Linked DNA regions of Rattus norvegicus. The protein of the gene in region 1 purifies or fractionates together with the protein of each later gene. This does not show direct contact. Links are inferred from orthologs where the notes say so. Each region holds a gene or a part of one and is shown in the gene's direction. Other genes may lie near its edges.

Region 1 (4,136 bases):
CACAGGGACAGTTGGGTGGAGGCTGGCCTCCTCTTGGACCTGCCTCAGCCAGCTCTCCCCAGGATGGAGACAACATCAGAACTCAACAAAAGTCCCACTCGCCCCATTCTGTACAAAGCCCTTGCCCCCATGAACTTGTATATAAAATTTTTTTTTTTGTACCAGCTCTTCCAGGCCTATCTGTGGATGGGACAGGGAATGGGTGGACCTTTTAGGTTTCAGAATCTTGGTTTTTTGGTGCTTGGTGATGCAATACGGGCTCTCCAGAAGTTAAGGCAGGATCTTAAGTTTAAGGTCAGCCTGGATTGCAGAAATCTTGTATCAAAAACCCGAACGGACAACAAAAGGTTCTATTTGTTTTCTGAGGCCTTCAGCAGCCCAGGGTCAGCACGGGGGAATGCTCCATAGGACTATGATGTGAAGCAGAAGCAGTCCAATTCCCCAAAATCATGGCACCAAAGTGTAACAAGTAAGCAAAACAGTGTTGGAACCTCCTGGAGGAACCGACTCAGGCTGGGATGTTTAGGGAGATTTTTCAGGACAAAATGAGTCTTTCATACTGAACAATCTACTGCCTTTTTGTTGTTTCCTTTGGTGGTGGGCGGTTATAGGTGCACAGCAGGGAGGGCAGCTCAGACAACATTCACAGCTGGGTACAGCAGCAAGTGAGTGCATCTGCGTCTCAGGAACCTGAAAGGCCTTCTCTCCTTCATACTCTTCCATCTAGGAAGACTACCCCGACTTGTCTGACAGAAGGAAACTCCTAGGCTCAGGAAAGGCCAGCAATTTTCAGCACACCAAGAGGTTGAGGGGAGGGACCGTTACACACGCAGCTCTGAAGGGCGGGCCAAGACATATTCTCGCCCCCTTATGGCCACCACATGTTCTGCAACCGTCATTCGTTGATGGGAGTAATGGCGCTCCACATCACGGACACCTGAACCGAGACGTGCAATCCCTCCAAAATATGGCGGCAGCGGCTGGATGGCCTTGTACGGCTAAAGACGCCTCGAGAACCACGTGACCTCTCGCCCCGCACAGTCATGGCCGCCAAGATCCAACTCATGCGATAGTCTGATTGGACAATATGAAAGTGGCCCGCCTCCGGTGTGCGCGCACTCACCGCTTCGATCAATGAGAAAACAGAAACCCTTCAGTTCGAGCCATCTGCGTCACTTCCTCCGCCCCTGCAGCAAGGGATAAGAAACCCTGCGCCAAGACCTCTTCCTTTCCTAGGCGGCTGCCGAAGATGGCGGAGGGGCAGGTTCGGACTCTGCGCGCCGGGCGGTGTGGGGTTGGGGTGGGTTCCAGGAGGGAGCCGAATGGGAGCCCACTGCTCCACTCTGCTTGTGCGATGGGACTTAAGCAAACGTTTTGACGCGAGGGGGTTGTGTAACGTGGGCATAACCAGCCGCGGCAGTCTTTAGGTATGGGACGATGAAAGCCTAGCGTTTTTCCTGGGGAAGACGGGAGTGGGACTCGGGTTCCCAACACCGGAAAGAACTTTTATAGGTTTCATCTCCGGCATTGGGGTGTGGGGACCTTGGAATTGCTCATGCCTGGTATTGTACTTTTGTTAGTGGGAGGCTCCTGTTTTGCATGACTTAGGGTTTTTGTAACATCTAATATTTGGGCTTGTAGCCCTTTTGAGGGTGTTAAATGTTCAGAATTAAGGGGTGAAATGATGAAGCAGACTTGTAAAACAGACTGAGGGAGAAACCTCATGACTTTGAGGGTTGACAGGAGTTGAACTGCACCTTTCCTGCTGTTTTTAGATGTCTTGAGGGTACGTTGTTGCTAAGGAAGTAGATGACGCTGTTTGGGACAGTTTTTCACTTTAAAAATGTAAACGGTAGTGTGCAATGGTTTTCTCTTGTAGTTTGGGTTGTACTGTTCTGCACTGCTCAGAATTGCAGACAGGACAGCCATTGTAGTCTAGCTAACTACAGGTTCGTTTTGTGCTGCTTAGAGCAACAGGTCTGCTCTTAGTGAGAAAGCTGGGGATTTGGTGGGACTAAACAATGGGCTAAAGTCTGAAACCAAGTCTAGACCCTTTGTAGGTCATAGTGTGCCCATGGATCCCAGCTATCCTGAAATTTGAGGCCTGGTAGGGTAACATGAAGTTCCATTTTAAAAAGTCATGTTGTGTGCACATAATAATGTACCTTTGGGACACGTGGTTCATCTGGGTTATAGGCATCCTTGTGGGGAGAGGCACTGTGAAGGGGTTGGTAACTTGGAGTAGGGAAAGCCTACTAAGCCTTCCTCTTTCCACAGGTTCTAGTATTGGATGGCCGGGGCCATCTTCTGGGCCGCCTGGCGGCCATTGTGGCCAAGCAGGTACTGCTGGGTAAGTTTCATTCAACATCCACATTTGCCTGAGAGTCTGTGATGAGCAATAATCACCATCTTTCGTTTGAGTCTCACGACTGTGAGATCAACCCATGCACCGCTCTGAGACTTACTGCCCCTGCTTACTTGGGGTTCATGGCTTAGAAATGATTTTGGAACAGATCTGCATTCCACGAGTGCTCTGTGGCTTTGTTGGGTGTTCAGTGACTTTCCTGACTGTCTCCAACCCCATGCTTTCTAGGCCGAAAGGTGGTGGTTGTACGCTGTGAGGGCATCAACATTTCTGGAAATTTCTACAGAAACAAGTGTGAGTTAGGGCTGGGGTGGTGGGCTTGGGTGGGGCTAAGCAGGTCCTTAGTTGCTTTTTGGACCCAAAAGGCCTCATATACTTTTCCTTCTGACAGTAAAGTATCTGGCCTTTCTCCGAAAGCGGATGAACACCAACCCGTCTCGAGGCCCCTACCACTTCCGAGCCCCAAGCCGCATTTTTTGGCGCACTGTGCGAGGTAAGCTGGTCCCATGGGTGACATGGAGAGCAGGGGAGCATCTGGCAGCTTGTGATGAGGATGTCTCCCACTCATGTTCGAGTTGCCTGACTATGAGACGACTCTACATGCACTACCATCTGAGGCTGGCCTAATGCCCTGCTCCTGAGGTCAGGTGGGTTTCTCAGCACCTCTGATGAGGCCTGCTGCTGTTACACCCACAGGCATGCTGCCGCACAAGACCAAAAGAGGCCAGGCTGCCCTGGAACGCCTCAAGGTGTTGGATGGGATCCCTCCACCCTATGACAAGGTGAGCCTTGCAGGCCTAGCCTCACAGCCTCTCTGCATCTAGCGTCTGTGATGTTCTGTTACCTACATTGTTTGAGCCTCATGAAAACTGCACTGGCTGAGACGCCTGACCCATCAGCCTTCTTACCAAGTGCACCCAACACGTCTCTGAGCCCTTATTTTTTTCTAACAGAAAAAGCGGATGGTGGTCCCTGCTGCCCTCAAGGTTGTGCGGCTGAAGCCTACCAGAAAGGTAAGCTCTAGGCTACAGAATAAACTTGTGGGACCTCAAGACTGGCAGATGATGGTATATTCTCACGATGGTCTTCGGATGCCACAGTGCCGATAATGCCAAAGGCTGAGCTGATGCCAGGAGAGCGTCCATGTTGGGATGAGTCCTTGAAGTAGGGTCCTTAGGCCCTCCAGCTCACTCTGCTGCTGGGGCACATTCCATGTCCTTACAGCCTTGTGCCCCTGCAGTTTGCTTACCTGGGGCGTCTGGCTCATGAGGTCGGGTGGAAGTACCAGGCAGTGACAGCTACTCTGGAGGAGAAACGGAAGGAAAAGGCAAAGATCCATTACCGGAAGAAGAAGCAGCTCTTGGTGAGGATAGAACCTGCACTCCAGGGTTAGGGTGGCCCTGGGACAAAAGCAACAAATCTCTGACACTTGTCTTTTCAAACCACAGAGGCTAAGGAAACAGGCAGAAAAGAATGTGGAGAAGAAAATCTGCAAGTTCACAGAGGTCCTCAAGACCAATGGACTCTTGGTGTGAACCCAATAAAGACTGTTTGTGCCTCATGCCTGCCTGGCCTGCCCTTCCTCCACCGCCGACCAGGGATGTGGGGACCAAAGGGTCCTTAGTCACTGCTCCTGTAGGTAGAGGGTGCATTTAGACAGCTGAGTGAGAGCTCATCACCTGCTTGAGTTTTACATTATTAAAGTGATAACCATGGAATGACCTGATCTTCAGTGTTCAAAATGAGTAGCAGGGCTGCCCCACCCACCTGC
Region 2 (2,909 bases), on another chromosome or scaffold:
CCATCATGAAACTTGGCCTGAAGAAGTTGTTCAGTGGCGTCTTTGTCAAGGTCACCCCTCAGAGTATGAGAATGCTGCGCACAGTGGAGCCTTATGTGACCTGGGGGTAAGTACCGTTTTCCCACGTGAATCACCTCGTTCTTTGAGTGTGTAAGACACACAGGGTATTGTCTTCCAAGGTTCATGCTGTGTGTTGGCCATTTTGCTGTGGCCAGTCACCAGAAATAAAGAGCCTTAGAACCTGGGAAGGTCAGTGATGCTGATAATGCCCCAAGTGTTTGGGACTTACTCGGCTGTCGGTTAAGAGAAGGTAAAATGGGGGCTGGGGATTTAGCTCAGTGGTAGAGCGCTTACCTAGGAAGCGCAAGGCCCTGGGTTCGGTCCCCAGCTCTGAAAAAAAGAACCAAAAAAAAAGAGAGAGAGAGAGAGAGAAGGTAAAATGAATGACACAGAGATTAGTGCTTGAAGCCACCGTGATAGTGATCGTCGCCAAGTGTGGTGGCTCACACCTACATCCCAGCACTTGGAGTCTGTGGCAGGGAGGTTGCTGTGGATCCCAGGCCAGCCTGAGCCATTCTGCTGCAAGATGTTCTCAAAGAAAGAAAAACACATTTTAGAACTGAGCATGGTGTCTTGGGCCTCCCATCCCTGTACACCAAAGGACAGACATGAAGAAGTTTAGTATCGCTCATGGACATATGTCCTGTGAAGGTACAAGGTATGGTGCTGGGAAGCCGTGTCCACACTTAGCAGGCTTCATAGCTGTCCTCACTCAAATACAGCTGTGTACCTCTTGGTGTAAAACCTCTGAGGCAGGAGGATTGCTGCAAGTTTGAGGCCAGCATAAGACCTGATCTCAAAAAATGCCTAAGTTTCTAATTATATTCTTTTTTTTTTTTTTTTTTTTTTTTTTTTTTGAAGCTGGGGACCGAACCCAGGGCCTTGCGCTTCCTAGGCAAGCGCTCTACCACTGAGCTAAATCCCCAACCCCTCTAATTATATTCTTAAGCCTGTGCTGGGCTTTTCAGTTGGCTCACTTCAGACTCCTGTATAGATAGCTCACGACCCTCCGGCCTCTGTCTCAGGTGCTGGAATTGCAGGCTTGAGCCACTGTGCTTTTCATTCTTCCTCTCAGTTGTCACTCAGTAGTCCACGCCCTGCCTGTGGGAGGTCCGGGTCGAGAGGCTGACACCTCTTCTCAGCTTGTTCTTAATGGCCAGTGTCTCTGTTGTGCCTTGTGTAGATTTCCAAATCTGAAGTCTGTCCGAGAACTCATCTTGAAGCGTGGACAAGCAAAGATTAACAATAAGACTGTCCCTCTGACCGACAACACAGTGATTGAGGAGCACTTGGGTGAGTGCTGCAGCATGGGGGTTTGGTGGCTGCTGGGATTTGGACCCAGGGTCTGTTCCTCACATTACAGGCCCAGCTTTTTTCCTGTGTACCGGCTAGTAGTGAACAAGGGGATCGATACCCTCTTGTTTTTCAGGGCAGTTTGGTGTCATTTGCCTGGAAGACCTCATCCATGAAATTGCCTTCCCTGGGAAGCATTTCCAGCAGATCTCTTCATTCTTGTGCCCTTTCCACCTCTCTGTGGCCCGTCATGCTACCAAGAATAGAGTGGGCTTCCTCAAGGAGATGGGCTCGCCTGGCTACCGGGGTGACCGCATCAACCAGCTCATCCGGCAGCTCAACTAGAGCAGGAGCAGGTGAGACCGGCGTGTGCCACAGTACAGCCAGTGCTCCTGTTGCCAAAGACTTTGAGAGGGGCTACGGACGGGGTGTGTGGGAGCGGAGGAACAGACTGCTCACAGTCAGTGCTGGGTCGGAGCTGTGGCCTTGCTCTACTCTAGACACCTTTTTCTTTGTTCCGTCTTCTCCTAAGATCCCCAGGTGGCTCTGTTCTCTGCTTGAGACTGACTGGATAGCTCATCTCTTGCAGATGATAAGGACAACTCTATTTTACATATCAGTCCAGATGTTGACTCCAGGTTTCCAGAGTCAGCACCCATAACCCCAGCTCCTTAATTTTCAGGAGACAGCAAATGGCTTTTTTTTTTTACTTTGCAAAAGAGTTCAGAGGTCTGCCCACCTCTGTTAAGCACATACAATAAGCCAGCTGGTGGGATCCCATCACCATCTCAACCACTGCTGGGCCCAACCTTGCTCTGTCTCCAGCTGACCCTGGACTTAGGAACCTGTCAGCTTTTGTCATCGTAAACAGTGGCAACAACAAAACCTTAGCTGGGTGGGGTCTGTGACCATCACTCCCTACATTTGTCCCCTTCTTTACTGTCTTTCTCACAAGTTGGCTTACAGTAGAGCTGCTTTTGTACCCTTAGGTTTGATAGGCCCCTCCTGTAATTCATACTGCATCTTTACTTCTTGAGAAATTATGTTTTTTTTAAAGATTTGTTATTTTATGGGTATACTACTGCACATTCATTGACCTGCTTTCCTTTGACTGTGGGAGCAGTGTTAATTCTTATGTGCTATACTAATAGTTGAAGGTTCATTAGCAGAGTAACTGCATATAGTAATTCTGCCAGTCCCCTTCAGACAAAAAGAAAGAGTATACTATATCCATCCTTAGACACACCAGAAGAGGGCACCAGATCTCATTACAGATGGTTGTGAGCCACCGTGTGGTTGCTGAGGATTGAACTCAGGACCTCTAGAAGAGCAGTCAATGCTCTTAACAGCTGAGCCATCTCTCCAGCCTTAAATTAACATGTATTTGAACCATGTATTTAGAGTCCTTATCCACAACCTTCAGGCTGTCCTGAAGATCAGGACTTTTTTTTTTTTTTTTTTTTTTTTTGGTTCTTTTTTTTCGGAGCTGGGGACCGAACCCAGGGCCTTGCGCTTCCTAGGCAAGCGCTCTACCACTGAGCTAAATCCCCAACTCC

What was found.
Region 2: the proteins of Rpl13a (region 1) and Rpl7l1 purify together in Homo sapiens (affinity purification with mass spectrometry; 3 studies listed by BioGRID and IntAct, with this or other methods). This does not show direct contact. The link is inferred for Rattus norvegicus from reciprocal best matches to the Homo sapiens genes RPL13A and RPL7L1.

Annotation. Positions count from the first base shown.
Region 1 is NC_086019.1:104,746,013-104,750,148, reverse strand, and holds Rpl13a (large ribosomal subunit protein uL13), read left to right. Parts: upstream 1-1,235; 5' UTR 1,236-1,249; coding exon 1,250-1,264; intron 1,265-2,277; coding exon 2,278-2,350; intron 2,351-2,381; exon of another isoform or gene 2,382-2,464; intron 2,465-2,593; coding exon 2,594-2,659; intron 2,660-2,756; coding exon 2,757-2,858; intron 2,859-2,902; exon of another isoform or gene 2,903-2,987; intron 2,988-3,061; coding exon 3,062-3,147; intron 3,148-3,187; exon of another isoform or gene 3,188-3,254; intron 3,255-3,318; coding exon 3,319-3,378; intron 3,379-3,421; exon of another isoform or gene 3,422-3,501; intron 3,502-3,589; exon of another isoform or gene 3,590-3,605; coding exon 3,606-3,728; intron 3,729-3,813; coding exon 3,814-3,900; 3' UTR 3,901-3,926; downstream 3,927-4,136. UniProt on the Homo sapiens protein: Associated with ribosomes but is not required for canonical ribosome function and has extra-ribosomal functions.
Region 2 is NC_086027.1:21,698,657-21,701,565, forward strand, and holds part of Rpl7l1 (60S ribosomal protein L7-like 1), read left to right. Parts: coding exon 1-106; intron 107-1,243; coding exon 1,244-1,353; intron 1,354-1,489; coding exon 1,490-1,698; 3' UTR 1,699-1,709; intron 1,710-2,434; exon of another isoform or gene 2,435-2,565; intron 2,566-2,909.